Linked DNA regions of Ovis aries. The protein of the gene in region 2 purifies or fractionates together with the protein of the main gene of each other region. This does not show direct contact. Links are inferred from orthologs where the notes say so. Each region holds a gene or a part of one and is shown on either strand. Other genes may lie near its edges. The genes, in order: PATL1 and LSM1.

Region 1 (8,735 bases), on a different chromosome or scaffold from region 2:
GAAAATAAGTTTGGCTTCTGGAAATCTTATCCACTGTGAAGACCCAAGGGAAAGAGGACCCCACATGGCGGGTCACCTCATCCTGCGCATCCTTCTTGATGAGGAAAGGCAGGTTCCTGGCTGTTGTCATGAGAATGTCCGCTGCTTGCTCTGTGGAGAGGAAAGGCAGGACCCGGGCCACCATCCTCTTCCCCTTTCGGATGCACATGATCTGCACAAAGTGGTCGTCACTCGGGCTGCGGGGAAGAAAAGGCCAGCTCGGGTCAGCAACAGCAACGCAGAAACCCCCTTTCTCCTCCTCCATGTTGCCAGATGAACACACTGCATTCGTGTGCACCCTGCAATGATCTGCACTACAAAACAGTGAGAATTACTTTACCAACTCTCAACAAATAATAAAAAGTAAATTCTTTGAGTTTCATGAATATTGAAAATCATTTCAAAAATTGTACATTAAAAAAACTAATCTAACCATAGGCACTGATTTCCTTTATTAACTTTCAAGTAACGACACAAATGACATGGTTAAAACAGCAAAATCTGAAATATACATGTATTAATAATATTCATAATCTCAGAGATAATTCACTAGTGCTATCATTTTGAAGGCATTTTTGCTGTGTATTATATATTTTTATCTTTCATTTTTAAAAAAGGGGGATCCATATAATTTATATGGCTTGTTACTTTTTTCACTCAAAAACTTATAAACACTTTTCCATGGCAATACATAATACTTTACAGATTTTACTGGCTACGTAACAGTCCAATCTACGGAGAAACCCAGATTTATTCAACCAAGCTCCCTGTCAGTCCAACTCCAGAAAAGATGTGCTAAAAAGAAGGTCCTTTTCAAAAAGAATCATCAATTCTCTTGAATGGGCAAAGACAAAGGGAGCATCCTCTTGCATTCATCAAATAAATACTGTGATTTCTGGAACATTTACCATTAGCAAGATTCTATTCCAGATACTGGGTGGGAGAGAGATGACAGAGAGACAGAGAAATTATACTAAGAAGCTTAGTCTTCACTGGAAGACTGACTGGCTTCCACAGCAAATAAGAATTGTATGGCAATCCCAGGAAAGCATGAATGTTTACACTTTCCATCTTAGTAGGAAAGAAAATACATAAAGATTACACGGTTGAACATTAGTAAGCATAAACTAGATACAATCTATAAGCTCAACAAAAGAAACTAAATGTTTCCCACTGTCTCCAGCGTCCAGCACTGTTCCTAATAGGTATTGAAGAGGTACTTGCTAAATGAATGAATTCAAGATACATAGATTTCCACCCCCTCCCCCACCCCAGGCTCAAAAGGATTCTAAAATGTTTTCTATGGAGTGAGCTTACTGAAATGGTAAGGAAGGGTAAAGGCAGGATATATAAAGCTCAAAGGAATCCAGCGAGACTAATGTTCTCACCAAAGGACACAATTCTCACCTCTCCTGTCCAGGCAATTTCCCCCTTAAGTTGTCGTACATGCAACAAATTTTGTGCTTTCTTTCATCCATCAGGGCAGGTCGCTCTTCTTCCAGACTTAGGAGGTAACGCCTTTCGTAATCCTCCACATCAAGCAGTAAACTGTAGGTCTAAGGGAGAGACAAAGCGGGCCTCAGCAAACTCAGCGTGAGGTGCACAACGTGGCCGTCCAGGACTAGCAGACAACAACGTAAGAGTGGAAGCTCACAGAAGAGTGAGAGGAAAAACCTGCTCGCTTAAACCCAGAGAAACACTGTCAAACAACTCAGGAAGAAGACACCCTTCAGGAATCGCTCCCTGCCCCTTCTTGACCACTAATCCAGCAGGCGATGGTAGTGACACGATTATCCACTTCCCAAAGTTTCCAGCAGCAGCCCTGTTAGTAACGTGAGCAATGCACGCCACCGCGTCCCGTGATGCCTCTATCTGTGAAAACGAAACAGCTAGCGACTATAGGGTGCCAGGCCCCGCTCTAAGCACCGTGCCAATACTCACTCATGGAATACTCACCACAGCCCAGTGAGAGGAGACTCTCACCACTTTCATTCTCAAAGATTAAAAAACCAAAGACGGCACAGAAAGGTTAAATGACTTGCCTCAAGTCACAGACTTGGTGAGAAATGATTTGGAGCCTGTTCTCAGAGTCTGTGCTCTTAACGCCTATACTCTATGCCCCACAACATGGTGTTTTATGGTTCAACACTAACTGCCTACTACTGATTTTCCTTAGAACCCAGGACAGTGCCCAACACCCAGGGAATGGTCAATAAACATACGGGAACTGACTGAACAGACAATCCATTCACAGGCAGAACAGTGTAATTTTTCTCTTCATTTTCTTAGAAAGATGCCCTGCCCTAAAACACTCAGCCACTAACTGAACAAGCCTGGACAAAACCCCAGGACTTCTGATTGTAACTACAGTGCTCTTTCCACGAGGCCACAGGCGAGGTAAACCACACTCCTTTCCAGCATGCCCTGTACACAACAGGCACTTTGCACAAACATGTACATCAGTTAAAATCGCAGGACACTGGCCGACTGTTTACTTCCCCACGTGTCGCGTACACACACATTTCACAGTCTGCTAAGCTGAAACCAACTACAGCACCTTTGGCAATTCTAAACTTACTTTCTCAATTATGAAAAGGGTTTTTCGTCTTTTGTCCCGAACCTGTTTTTCTTTTGTCTCCTAAAAAAAAAGAAAAGACTTTTCAATATGAACTCTTTAACCATGTTAAGAATTATTTACTGCTGGTAAATTCCATAGGTAATTCTATTTGTGACAGTACTGTGGGGATTAATAATCAGGCAGAAGTAATGGGGGCAAAGGTCACAGAGCTGACTGAAGGGCCCACACATGAACTAGTAACTAAGTTCACAGAGGAGCAAAAGGTACTGGAGAATGCAATGGAAAATGAAGATACCATAGGAAAATCTTAAGCACACAGAAAATGATAGTTTTAAAAGCTGGAACAAACAGCTAATGCTGTTTGTGGCCAGGGTTACCTGGCAGGAGCCAGTTCAAAGGCTCCTGCCACCCCAGGTTCTGCCTGGCTGCCTTAGGATCCCAACCCAGGGACCGTCAAAGAAGCAGTGCTGACCCAGACTTCCTTAAACACACAATTCTGTGGCTACTTACATCATCCTCACTCCGAGACGTCACAACAGCATCAATCATTTTTCGGGGATTATTCACACTAGAGACAGTGAGCTTTCCCAAAGAGCCCTCAAACTGCACTGCAAGGACAAAAAGTTGCCAACAAGTAAAAACCCAGCAACACAGGCAGACAGCATTCAACGAAGATCATCACAGTCTCTCTTTTCTGGCCCCACTGCATGGCCTGCTGTTGTTTAGTTGCTGAGTCGTGTCCGACTCTTTGTGGCCCCATGGACTGCAGCCCGCCAGGCTCCTCTGTCCGTGCGATTTCCCAAACAAGAATACTGAAGCAGGTTGCCACTTTTTTCTCCAGGGGATCTTCCTGACCCAGGGATTGAACCTGCGTCTCCTCTGTCCCTTGCACGGTAGGTGGGTTCTCTGCTGCTGAGCCTCCAGGGAAGCCCCGCTGTGTTCCATGCGGGGACTTTAGTTCCCCTGACCAGGGATGGAACTCAAGCCCCCTGCAGTGGAAGCACAGTCTTAACCACTAGACTGCCAGGAGGTCCTATGTTCTCTAGTCTTTACTCCAGACCTAAAAATTCACTACAAAAATCCATGTATTATCGAAGGCAATCTCTTATCAAAAGATATCCTTTTCCATTTTTTTTTTGGTTGTAATTATGAAAAGTCTGAAGTATCTTCCCCTTTATCTATTTTATGGATACTAGAAATTATAACATTTTAAAAAGTCATGGAATCTCAAGCAGGAATGGACTTAAAAGGTCATCTGTCAAACTATCCAGTTCACGCTTGAGTAAGTGGGCCTCCGCATCTGTCAGGGACAGCGGTGCCGCGCACATCAGTCTCACACGTCCCCTTCCCGTCATCCACACAGCTGCGGCTGCCGTCCCGCCAGCAGCACAGCAAGTCTCTCGGCCGTGGGCGTGGGACAGCGGCCTCACCTGGCTTGTAGGTGTGCTCCAGCCTGGCCACCTGGGGCGTGATGAGCTTGGTGCGTTCCTTTCTTGGGCCGTCACCGTGCACTTCTTCAGCAGCTGACAGCTTCTCCAGTTTTTCAAAGTAATTCTGCCATGTGAGAAGAGGATTGGCCGCTCTCTATCATGGAGCGACTTACACCAGTGGCAGCACCGCTGCTCGCGCTCTATACGTACTGGCTTTTAACTTTTATCAGATTGTGAAGAATTTACTTTATCAAAAAATCCCAGCCTTCAAAATTAGCATCAATGGAAACATCATTAGACTGCCAAAATTCTTAATTTTAAGAACCAGATTATTGATGCCAAAAGATTTGAAAATATTGGTTTGAGAGTCTCTATAGTTTAGAAAAGGCATATATGCAAACCTTTCAGTGAATATCGTGAGAGATTCTTCAGCTTGAAAAACGGGACAAAATTCTTACCTACTTGAAGACTACCTCAGAAGAAAATTATACCAATACTTAAATGAGTACCTTCACCAGGGTAAGTGACTAAGCTTACCTTTCAAACTGGCCCAGAGTGCATACCTGGTAATAAGAATCATCCAGGTAGGGGTCAGTGCTCATGCCTGGTAACAGAAGTCATCCGGGCACTGGCCCAGAGCACGCACCTGGTAGTAGAAGTCGTCCAGGTAGGGGTCAGTGCTCTGCAGCTGCATCATCTGAATCTTAGAGACCCAGTCTTTCTCTCGCTGCAGCATGAGGTTAGCATACGGGTCCTTCCGGATATGATCCTGATGACTGCTCCGGTGACTCCCTCTGTCTCCTGCACCGTTGAGAGTCCGATGCTGACTGGAAAGGAAATACAGGTCACATGCACTCCGAGTGGACACATGAATTACACCTTATAACAATACTGGAGTAAACCAGGCCAACTAAAAAAAAAAAAAAAAAAAAAAATCCCCTTTGCTTTTATTAAAAGAGGAGTGAAAAAGAATAGAATTTTAACAAAATTTGAGAGGAAGGAGCTATGGAATACCTAATCAGAGGACTAAACTAAAATCTGGGTGCCTTACCATAAGCTAAGCACCTTCTCCTATGGACTTGTGTATAAGCCCCATAATAACCCTATGAGGTCCGTAAGTTTATTTTCCCCACTTAAGACAACAAACTGAGCTCAGAAGAGATCAGGTAACTTGCCCAAAGCAGTACACCTGGCAGCAGTGAGAGGTGTGACCACAGGCTACCTTGACTCCAAGTCTACATACTTTTAAAAAACTTGTTGAAAATTATGATATACTTTAAACACATAGAAAGGTCCAGCAAACATTATTCAAAAATCCATTTACTCACCATTTGGACTAAATGAAAAAATTATTTGGTCAAACTTGTTTCAGATTTTTAAAAAGTAAAATATTAACCTAACACAGTGCTACGTTTACAGTTGAGGGGCCACCTACAGCCCTCAAGATCAGTTTCCAGCTCCCCTTCCTTCCTATAGGAACTACTATCCTGACTTTGATACATATCCTTCAAGAAATATTTTTATACTTTTACTACTTGTACACCTACCTTTTATTACTTATATTACTTGTACATCTACCTTTAAATATCATACAGTAGTATTCCATTTTACATAAATGGTATTAGGCATAAAATTCTGCTCCTTGATTCTTATTCAATATTATGTGTTTCATACTTGTCCACATTGATAATATACCCCCCAGGTATATTCTGAAAAGTAAAACTGCTAGGATTCAATGTATCTACATTATAAATCTTATTGTTTATTGCCAAATTCTCTCTCCAAAGCCTATATATATTCCATTCCTGCTAACAACGACAGTGTTGAGACACTTCATGTTTTGCTGTCTGAGGATATAAAACGGTTATCTAATTTCAATCTGCACTTTTCTCATTACAAGTGAGCCTGAAAATCTTTGTGTTTTTATGAGCCATGTAGGTTTCCTCTATTGAAAGACTGCATGCTTGTGTCTGATGCCTTTTATTACACAGAAGTTTAATATATTTTTACAATTTCATAAAAAATATTTGTAAACAACTTTACAAATAACTGCTGCTAACTGCTGTACAAAGAAATGTACAATTTAATGTATACAAATTGGTAAGTCTGGACAAATGCAAACACTTGTCATGCCAGCAGCATAAAAAAGGCACTAGACATATACACCCACTCCTTGGGTCCCTTTGTTCTTCTTCCCTTTTGGGGGGCTTGGGGGCGGGTAAGATACTTAACATGAGATCTACCTTTTCAAATTCTGAAATGCACAATACCATAATGTCAACTGCAGGCCTGTTTGTATTTTAACAGTCAATATATTATTAATCTTTTCCTTTACGGTTTGTATTTTTTGTATCTTAAAGGCCCATACTAGTTTTTTACCTCTGCAAAGAATATTCCAGAATTTTTTTTTTTGAAAGAAAAAGGAAATTAGACACAAAGAACCATAAAAGGGAAGGCTGCAAAAACTTCAAAGTTATGTTTAATTCTCTTATTTTATGTATAAGAATGATGACAAAATATAAGCTCCATGAAAGCAAGGGCATGTTATGTCTTGTTCTTTCAATCTCCCAAACTGACCACAGTAGCTGGTACACAGCTGGGGCCACATATATAAATATATATTTGAATGAAGATTAAACAGAGGCAAAAACGAAGTGACTGTCGGCTTTACATAAGACCCAAATGTAATGCTAGAGACTATACTTCAAGATCACCTCCGAGCCGAGACGGTAAACAAAACGCAGCCAGAAGTATGGGAAGAACTTGGTAAGGAGTGAGTGGAAGATGCTGGCCACCCCCACCCCAGATCGAGACTGCATTTCAGAATCATATTAACTTGGAAATAAGTTGATAAGCCCTAGTCATTCAAAGCTTGTGCATTACATAAACTAGCACGTATGACCTGACTTAGCCAGCTGAAATAAGCTCAATATTGATTAAATTTACTTAAAAAGTAAGCTAAATCAGGCAAAAATGAAACCTAGATTAAGAAACCACAAAAGAGGTTAAGTACGTACTTTCTATTCTGTTGCTGCCTCTGATGCAAGAGTCGACGGTGCTGTGGATGAAGATGGGTTGTGTCTGGTCTAAACACTGGGGTCTGCGATCTAAGAAAAAGGGAAAGATGTTCAGTTCTGTCCTTTTGATGACCTGAAGCTTTAAAGAATGTGATCAATACCGGATAACTTCACACAGGTTCACCCAAGAGAATGCTGGTGTCTACTCTAAGAAGATCTTTCAGAAGGAAGACACAGCTGTATTTTCATGTCTTCCATGAAAGACAATTCTCAACTCCTAAAAAGACAATCATAAAATCTGAGTGAATCAGCAGTAAGCTAGTTTAATTCTCTTTGCTCCTAGCTGTTAAGGAGAAGTCTCTAACTAAATTTAATGTACTCAAATTCAGATTTGGAAATGATCCTGAAAATATACATGTGACGGTTAATTTAATATGCTGATTGCCTAAGACACCCAGTTGTTTGGACACTCATCTAGATATTGCTGTGATGGTGTTTTATAGATGCTATTAACATTTACAATTAACTTTAAGAAATAGAAAGATGGCCCTAGATAATGTGGGTGGGACTTGCCTATCAGTTGAAGGCCCTAAAAGGAAAACCAGTTTCCCAGAGAAGGAATTTTGCCTCAAGACTGGAATATGGGAAGGCCTGATTGCGTCTCCAGCCTGCTCACCTGCCCTACAAATTCAGACCTCAGGTTGCAACCACAACTTCCAACAGAATGTCCAGCTTGCTGGCCTGCCCTACAGATTCTGGACTTCCTAGCCCCACATTCATGTAAGCCAATGCCTTAAAGTAAATCTCTTCTTTATTTATCTATATGCTATTGGTTCTGCTTCTCAGGAGAACCCTGAGACAATGTGATATATAATAAAACACAATTTCACTGAAGCAGGAACTTAAACCTCTATGGTAAAGTCCCAGTGGAAGCAAGCAAGTAGCTAAACACTGAGATTAGCTGACAACTCAGCATCTCTATCTCTGTTCCTCTTTTTCTTTGGTTGCACGATGTAGCTTGCTGGGTCTCAGCTCCCCTGACTGAACCTGAGCCATGGCAGTGAAAGCACTGAGTCCTAACCACGGGGCCGTCAGGGACTGCCCTCACTGTTCCTCAGTGTAAGATAATTCTTGTTAGATGAGAAGCACTTGGCGCATGTATGTGTGTGTGTCAAATGGATATGTGAGACATAAGAAACTTTAGAAGAAATAAAAAGGTGACTGCTGCTGCTAAGTCGCTTCAGTCGTGTCCGACTCTGTGCGACCCCATAGATGGCAGCCCACCAGGCTCCCCGTCCCTGGGATTCTCCAGGCAAGAACACTGGAGTGGGTTGCCATTTCCTTCTCCAATGCATGAAAGTGAGAAGTGAAAGTGAGGTCGCTCAGTCGTGCCCGACTCTTCGAGCCTTCCAGGCTCCTCCGTCCATGGGATTTTCCAGGAAGAGTACTGGAGTGGGGTGCCATTGCCTTCTCCAGAAAAAGGTTATTAATGTGCAAATCTAAGTAGGAAGCATCCTGTTGTTTAGTTGCTAAGTTGCGCCCTACTCTTTGTGACCCCAAGGACTATAGCCCATCAGGCTCCTCTGTCCATGGGATTTCCCAGGCAAGAATCCTAGAAGGGGTCGCCTTCTCCAGGGGACCTTCCCAACCCAGGGATGGAACCCAAGGCTC
Region 2 (8,735 bases):
CTTCTGTGCAGGGTACATCATGAGAAATGCTGGGCTGGAAGAAGCACAAGCTGGAATCAAGACTGCCGGGAGAAATATCAATAACCTCAGATATGCAGATGACACCACCCTTATGGCAGAAAGTGAAGAGGAACTAAAAAGCCTCTTGATGAAAGTAGAGAGTGAAAAAGTTGGCTTAAAGCTCAACATTCAGAAAACAAAGATCATGGCATCTGGGCCCATCACTTCATGGCAAATAGATGGGGAAACAGTGGAAACAGTGTCAGACTTCATTTTTGGGGGCTCCAAAATCACTGCAGGTGGTGACTGCAGCCATGAAATTAAAAGACGCTTACTCCTTGGAAGAAAAGTTATGACCAACCTAGATAGCATATTGAAAAGCGGAGACATTACTTTGCCAACAAAGGTACGTCTATTCAAGGCTATGGTTTTACCTGTGGTCATGTATGGATGTGAGAGTTGGACTGTGAAGAAGGCTGAGCGCTGAAGAATTGATGCTTTTGAACTGTGGTGTTGGAGAAGACTCTTGAGAGTCCCTTGGACTGCAAGGAGATCCAACCAGTCCATTCTGAAGGAGATCAGCCCTGGGATTTCTTTGGAAGGACTGATGCTGAAGCTGAAACCAGTACTTTGGCTACCTCATGTGAAGAGTCGACTCATTGGAAAAGACTCTGATGCTGGGAGGGATTGGGGGCAGGAGGAGAAGGGGACGACCCAGGATGAGATGGCTGGATGGCATCACCGACTTGATGGATGTGAGTCTGAGTGAACTCCGGGAGATGGTGATGGACAGGGAGGCCTGGCGTGCTGCGATTCATGGGGTCGCAAGGAGTCGGACACGACTGAGTGACTGAACTGAACTGAACTGAAAGGGGTAATATGGGCTTCCCTTGTGGCTCAGCTGGATAAGAATCCACCTGCAATGTGGGAGACCTGGGTTGTATTCCTGGGTTGGGAAGATCCCCTGGAGAAGGGAAAGGCTACCCGCTCCAGTATTCTGGCCCGAAGAATTCCACTGACTGTATAGTCCATGTGGTCACAGAGTCAGACACGACTGAGCAACTTTCACTTCATAAAAGGGTAATATACGACGCTGGGGTGCAGCCCTGCTGGCGGGAGGGAAACAGACAGAAGAAAGACATCTGTTGCTTCCAGCAACCCTGACAAGTCCTCCCCTGCCCCGGTCCCATTTCCCTGGGATGCTCTTCCAGGCATTTTCACACCAATCATCTCCCAACTGTTCACTCCTGGAGGGCCGTAGTCTCCAGTGGGGGCAGTAAGAAATCATCTCCATATTCAGTGTATTCACTCCTGGTAGTTCTCTGACTGGTCTCTAAAGTAATCTTAGTAACCAGCCTGAATCCACCGCATGCCCTATCCATCCATCATTTATCCATCCTTCCTTCACCTCCACAGAGATGTACTGAGACTTGATATGTGCCTGACATCGTTCTCCATGTGCAATCACAGGAGTGAATATGACAAAAATCCTGCCTTGAGGACTTACACTCTTGTCAGGGGAGTGAAATTAATGTTCGACTGCAATAACTGCTCTGGTGAAAGACAAAGCTGCAAAGGATATAGTTGGGGATGGTGTTGCTATTTAAAATGGGTCTTCTGCGAAGGATTTTCTTGTAGCTGTCTGAGGCAAGTATGTTGTAAACAAGAGAACAGGAAATTCTGGCCCCATCAAGGGCTTGCTCCACCTGCTCTACTGTCTGTCTCTCAGCCTGACCTGTCCCTTGTACTCCTGTGAGCAAAACTGAGGCCACTCTCCAGCCATCACATCTGGGTACCTCTGCAGTTTACGCTGACGTGGCGTCCATGCCAGATGGTTTGAGAGTATCTGGTTCTGCTGAGTACCCAGGGCCTTCTGGGACTTTAGCCGAGTAGGGGAGAACAGATATTGTGGTTTAAATTTAGCTGACAGAATGCAATGAAAGGTCAAGCGCCAAGGAAGGGGGAAAAGAACAGCTAGGAGGGTGAGAGAGAGGCTGCTGCACCCAGTTACATCAGAATGAAGATGGATAATTTCAGGTAATTTCGGTATCTGCAAAAAGCCTGGACTGGCAGAGCTGAGGGGGATCCCTGCACTGAGGGGCAGGGAGATGAAAGGGAGGGAGCAGGGAGCCTCGTCTTGTTCCATCCTTCAGCTCTAGCCCATGCGACAATGGTCTAAAGGGCAGTACCTTACCGTATGTGATGACTGAAACCCAGCCATGGCTTGAAAATTCCTGACCTACTATGGGAATTGTCTTCTCCTGAACAGAAGAATAAATCCTAAGTCTTATGATTGCATGTGGAATTGTCTGAGTGAGGTCAAGAAGACAAAAGATTACAGTGAACTTGAATCTCTTGAAGGTGTTGGATATTCTGAAATGGTGGTGCTCAAAACCAACACATTCTGCTCTCAAAATCTTCTTGCAGTGAAAGTTAACCACATCTTAAACAGTTGGTGATGGGCTTTTCCCCTTCATGTGGGAATAAGAAATTAAGGCCATTCAGCGGTAAGGTTAGAGGTGAAACACACAAGATAAATCAAAGTGCAACTTTTCCCATATTACCTCCTTTGAAACCAAGCCAGTGATGAATAGCTGAGGTCAAATGGTTTATCTGCAAACCCCTGAGCTCATAAAATGTGAAGTATATTGAATACTATAAAGTAACTCAAAGAAAAGAATTGGATTTAAGTATCTTCTCTGCAAATGATGTCTCTGCTCAAGACTATAAGTATCTGGAATAATTTTACAGTTAAAACAGAGTCAAGGAGGAAGACTGACTTGCTTGAACCCAAGTGCCAAAGAGAAGAGTCTGGATTTTAACCCGTTTGTCTCCCAGTTCCAAGTTCACACTGTCCAATACCCAACACTGAACTCCTGGAAAGTACAGCCTCTTACGTGGCGGCCAAGACATGTGGGTGGAGAAGAACCTAGATCAATCAGTCAGTCACTGAAACACCGTTTTATCTGTGCTTATTTTTGATGACACCATAAGATGCTCAAGACTCAAGCCAAATGACCAGAAAAACCTCATGAGATTAACAGAGCATTTAGGGAAGTTGTCATGTGGGTCTCACGGGAACACAGCTGGTGATGCAGTTGCTACCACTCCTGCTTCTCAAACGCCAGCTTCTGTTGTAACCAAGAACTGTGACACCTCACTGAAAGAGCCCTCCTCAAGCCTGAACATTTTTTGTTGTTAGGGGAAAAAAATAAAAGACGAGGGGACAAGGGAGGACCTGCAGGGTATTTAGTATGAGAATACTCCTTTGTAAGTGACTTCCCTCATGGTCCAGTGGCTAAGACTCCACTCACACTGCAGGGGCCCCAGTTCCATCCTTGGTCAGGCAACTAGATCCCGTGTGCCACAGCTAAGAGTTCACAGGCCTTGGCTACAGGTCCCACGTGCAGCAACGAAGACCTGGCACAGCCAAATAAATGAACTAAAACAAGAGTAGGCTGGAATTGTGACAGAAGGGAAATTCCACGTGTGTGTGGACTGCTTATACCTCTTGGAGGAGAAATTAAATGATGTCCAGTCACTGAAGGCAACTCAAACTTGAGAAATAACACTGCAATTTTGAGATTCGAGTTTTATTTACAAGTAAACGAAGACTGTCCCCTGTAGCCACTCATTTGGGGTGAGAAGAGCAATGTAAAGAAGTAGCTGCTGGCTCCACAGTGATAAGTGAGAGGAGTCCATGCCACTGTTTCTTTAAATGATGATTTTGTAATTAAAATGAAAAAAAAAAAAAAAAAAACACACACACACACACAGAACACAACACATGATTTCTTCATGTTGCATCTGTGAAAGAATTCAAAACAAAAATGACTTTTCAAAACTCTTATAGAGTCTCATCACACGTGTGAGGTGACCAGGCCGTCACTTCGCTTAGTGACAGCCCTGCTCCTCAGGAGCGACAGTCTCTGAGCAGAAGACTTAATACTCATCGAGAGTATCTGCCCGAGGGATGGACAGGCCTCGGTCCTTCAGGGCCTGGACTTTCAGCTTCTCGGCTTCCAGCTTGGTCTGCTGTTCCACCCTCTGTTCTTCTAAGATTTCCTCAATAGACACTTGCTGGAGAGGTGTGTCACTCTCCTTTTCTAAGTCCTACAAAACAAGTAGGTTTGGGAAACTTTACCTCATGACCAAGAATAGAAAACATCACAGATACAAAGGCAAACGGATTCCTATATCAGGCTTGAATTATTTTACGAACTTGTGCCAGGGCACAAACACCCTATGGACAGATAACACTTTACAAAGAAATGGCTGGCAATGCTCCTATAGAACACTCAGATGTGGTTTAACAAGAATCAGTATCAGTGTGCATAACAAAGCTTTAGTCTGTGCAAAGTAAAGTCCTACATAAGTTAAGAACTACTTTTCTTACAGCTATTTCCCCAACCCCAGGGAATCCAAGAGAGAAGTCACCAAGGTCAAGGTAGCTTAAAATAAATTTTGTATTTATACACAGTCAAAGTCAGCCTAATTTCTGGGGCTTTTTTTTTGCTAAAAAGTAGAAAACATTGATTCAAAGTAGCACCCCTGACCCCCAGCCCCCAAGCCCCCAAGCCAAAGGCAATCAACTGGCCCTCTGTTAACACAGGACTTCTTTCTCCCCCATGGCAACTAGTCTTCTGGAGAAAACCTCAGCAAACCAGTTGGGTTAGTAAACCATTTTGGCCCCAACATTCATTCTTCGCAAATATTGGCTACATTTCCCATTTAATATGGTAAAATATGCTAATATTTTATTTTTGAACAGCTTAAACATCTGATAACCAACTTGATAATGCAGTACTTTGCTATAAAATTATCTATTTACTGACTGTTTCTTCTCCTTAAGAAGTTTATCTAGGTATCACTTGGTGTTTCTGTAACATGGAAAGCCTCTACGGACAGGGTACTCACATTTCTCATCCTCCTCTGACTTTTACTTACAAAATCTGGGAAGGCATCAACGCAAATGCCACCTCTCCAGACGTTCCAGCCTACCGCTAGATGCTCATCTACAGAGGCGGCCAAGGCCTTGGAAGCCACAGCGGTGACACCGCAGATGGAGGACTCTCCCAGAGCGAAAGCCACATAAATTCCATAAGCAAGGCCTGCCCTCAAAAGTTAGCTGCATCCAGCAAAATATATATTATCAAGTGTGATCTTCCCTCACAGCCCATGGGCAGCAGAAGGGAAGACAATGTTCTTGGCTCAGTGTCCTACCTCCTGGACTTTCCAATGTTATGCGCTGAGCTATTCGTGTGGTTATGGCAATGCTGTTTCCCAACAATCAGCTTATTACTTAAGGCCCCGTATCTCATTATCCTTGAGGTAGAAGCCAGGGACTTCACAAACAACTGCGCGTCTACAGAATGCAAGTGGCTTCTAGTTTTGCGTTTTCCTAGAATTGGTACACAACATCTTCAAACAGACCATAGATTCATAGAACTGTGGAAGCAGTCCCGAACCGTATTTCTTTAGTAATACCACTATAAAAAATTCTGCAGAATCTGAACTGTTAACATACAAAAAAAGAGTACTCTTCTCCACGAAAGGGCTCCCAGGAAACAATGACACATCAAGAATAAACACAAATTCTTGTCTTCCCATACATCTACATAGCGCCGTGTCGGTGCCAATGTAACTGGCACAGAAAGCGTATCTGTGCTGTTTTCTTCTCTTCAATTGAAGCAGTGTGTGTGGTCTTGTGACTTAAACCTTTCCCCTGATAGCAAAGTAATACATTTCCTCTCTAAAAGTTAAATTCAGAAAAGTAAAAAAGGGGGAAAAAATAATCACCCACCATCCTACCATCCAGAGATTGGCCAGTCCCTCTGAATATACAGTCAGACGACCATCCCAACCCCCACATCCCAGGATACCATGGTGCTTTACATCAACCACAAAAATACTTTTAAAACTTCAAAATTACTTCATATATTTCATAGCAATTCTTGGACAGCATTGATTAGTTTTTTCTATCTACTTCCAACATGAACAAACACGACCCTGGCAGAATTACCTCCTTACTTTCGCGAATGGTGTATAGTTAAAAACTGCTACGAAAACAAAACAACAACAACAACAACAACAACAAATAAAAGCAGCTACAGACTGAGCCAGTTCTCTCCAGAGTTCTGTAAACCTGACTCAGCAAGTGGCTAGGGATTGTGAAATGCTACTGAAAACTTTAAAGATAAAATCAAGGTTTGATTTTCCTGGAAAACGCAATAATCAGAAGCACCAGGATCAAGTCAAAGATATTAAATAAAGCATTTTTAAAGTAAATGTTTCATGTAAACTGTGAAATCAAGTTTTATCTTCTTTAAAAATGTCGGAGTAGTTCTAATATATATTTTGGAGTAGTTTTCTAATGGTTCACACACATACACACTCACACCTACAGAAACACCACTTGAGAGGATTTAACTTTTCACTTGCCAGCTGGCTTTCCTGACAGATAACAGGAACCTCCTCCTTGACTGGGAGCTAAGAAGCCAAGTGAGGTTGAGTCCATTCTCAGAAAATGAAGAAAGGCTTCTGCTGCAGTCACTCTTTCCCCCTGCCCCCTTTAAAAACACAGATATCACACTGTACATGCCATGTGCCTTTCCCCCAAACCCAACTACCTTTATGCCATGAAAGACCATTGTAACCAACTGTTTAAATGACTACAAAATATTCCAGTGTTAGTAAGCCATATTTCATTGGACTATTCTTCTCTCGTTGGGTATCAGGCTTCAATTTTCTATTAAAGATACAAGAGTAATCTGCTAATGAACACATTTGTGTGGGACAGTGTTTTATATATATAATGGCTGCACCACTCAGCTCCTGGGATCTTGGTTCCAGGGGCTGAACCCGGGCCTCTGCGGTAAGAGTGTGGAGTCCTAACCATTGGACTGCCAAAAAACTCCCTTGTAGGACAGTATTTTTTATGATATCAGGTAAAAATCAATGATATTTTACTGCTAATGGGATCAAAATCTTTAATATGCCAGAAGGCGCTGAAACAAAGCTGACTGTGCTCTGCAGCTCTCCTTTTACAATATCCCCTTCTTAAGCTAATTTGGTGGTTTCCTGTGAGAAGCTGGAAAACATTTTTCCCTTCTTGAAAAGACAAAAAGAAACCTAACTGGATGATTATCAAGAGCCGTAGGAGCTTAACAGTTTTCACTTACTATTTCTCCTAGCAGGACCACATTTTCTCCTCTGACCACAAAAATCCCTCGAGGAATATCACCGTATTTTTTGCCCACATGAATACGCTCCACAGTCTGATGTAGCACTAAGTTAGCTATAAGTGTACAGGGAAGAAACAAAGACATTTAGTTCAAATTACTTTACAGGTAAAGGTCCATAACTCAATCAGTTATCTTGAGTAGAAACGATTAGCTGAACGTGATTTTCAAACTTTCTAATTCTGGAAAATGCTAAAATTTCAAACAATCTCATCCTATTTCATTCAGACACACCACTTGGAGATTTTTAAACAACTGCAAATAGAGTACTTGGGATTATGTTGCATTAATACAAGGATGGTGGAAATAAATGAAGAAAATTAAATTCCTTATGAGTTAACTGCTGATATCAACATGACTATAATAATATGATACGGCACTTGGAAAACTCTAAAGTCCAAACAACTGCAGAAATTATCTTTTTTTCTCTTTTAGAAGGAAACATTTTTCCTACTTTGTGTAGGTATGTGTGTGTGATGATTTATCAAAGATTTACCTTTGTTTCAGTACAGATGATTCATTTAATCCAATGTAGGTATTCATGGATTATGATACAACAGTAATCTGTTTTTTTCTCCTTTGTCAGATGACTATAATTTGGTAATCTGAGAGTAACATTAGTATTCACTACTTTCCCCTCACGTAGTTTGATGAATTTGACTTAAGGTTCAGAATCACAATCTGTGCAGAATTATTACTTTTCTTCTTTCAGTCGGTACTGCTGTCGTCTTTGAAGAAACACAGTACTATCATCTGTGATTCTTACTAAGTATTTCAATTATGTTGTTCTTCCTTAGGCCCAAAGCCACTGACCTAGCTGATGTCCAGCAAATGTTGACATGAACTGGAAGTTCCTCAAGACAGGAGCAAATGTAAGGTCTCTTTAGAAAAACGTAAGAGACAGAATCAAGATTAAGACCTTGAGTCTGATGTATCCTAAAGTATAAAATCCTGAGCTTAATGTTGGGGGTCCCTAAAAAGCTTCAGGAAAGGCCTCTGACCCACTTTTCATTGGACAGGGAGGGATTACCTTCAGGGCAGGAACTGCTTTGAAGAGTAGTCGCACCCAAGCCAATGTACAAATGAGCAGCCTTTTCAGTGGACTGAGTGTATTTCTATCATCTGGCTCCCTCTAATGGGGAAAATAAAAAACAGTCCAAAACATTGTAACGACATGTTCTAATAGTGAAAACCAGTTTTAGAAATAAAATATAAGCTTGTAAACACAAGCTTTCAAACCACCTAATTGTAATTTAGAAAACAATGATGTAGTGACTTAAAACAGTATTTCATCATGCCAGGTACGTGAAAAAAGTTGCAGATAAATAAACTTCAATACGAAACAACATAAAAATACAGTGGGCAGCTCTTATCATCCAGAGTGTGGGATGATAAAAGCCACCATGGCTCTTATCACCACGGACTCATGATAAGTCCATGAGTAATACATACCAAATTGATCAATGCTTCTCAAAAATCCTATGAGTGTCCTTC

The links.
Region 1: the proteins of LSM1 (region 2) and PATL1 purify together in Homo sapiens (co-immunoprecipitation; 3 studies listed by BioGRID and IntAct, with this or other methods). This does not show direct contact. The link is inferred for Ovis aries from reciprocal best matches to the Homo sapiens genes LSM1 and PATL1.

What each region holds. Positions count from the first base shown.
Region 1 is NC_056068.1:81,414,054-81,422,788, forward strand, and holds part of PATL1 (protein PAT1 homolog 1), read right to left. Parts: intron 7,155-8,735; coding exon 7,065-7,154; intron 4,875-7,064; coding exon 4,694-4,874; intron 4,172-4,693; coding exon 4,048-4,171; intron 3,226-4,047; coding exon 3,128-3,225; intron 2,678-3,127; coding exon 2,618-2,677; intron 1,596-2,617; coding exon 1,447-1,595; intron 237-1,446; coding exon 77-236; intron 1-76. UniProt on the Homo sapiens protein: RNA-binding protein involved in deadenylation-dependent decapping of mRNAs, leading to the degradation of mRNAs. Acts as a scaffold protein that connects deadenylation and decapping machinery.
Region 2 is NC_056079.1:32,431,604-32,440,338, forward strand, and holds the end of LSM1 (U6 snRNA-associated Sm-like protein LSm1), read right to left. Parts: coding exon 8,694-8,735; intron 7,298-8,693; coding exon 7,182-7,297; intron 4,114-7,181; coding exon 3,943-4,113; 3' UTR 3,578-3,942; downstream 1-3,577. UniProt on the Homo sapiens protein: Plays a role in the degradation of histone mRNAs, the only eukaryotic mRNAs that are not polyadenylated. Probably also part of an LSm subunits-containing complex involved in the general process of mRNA degradation.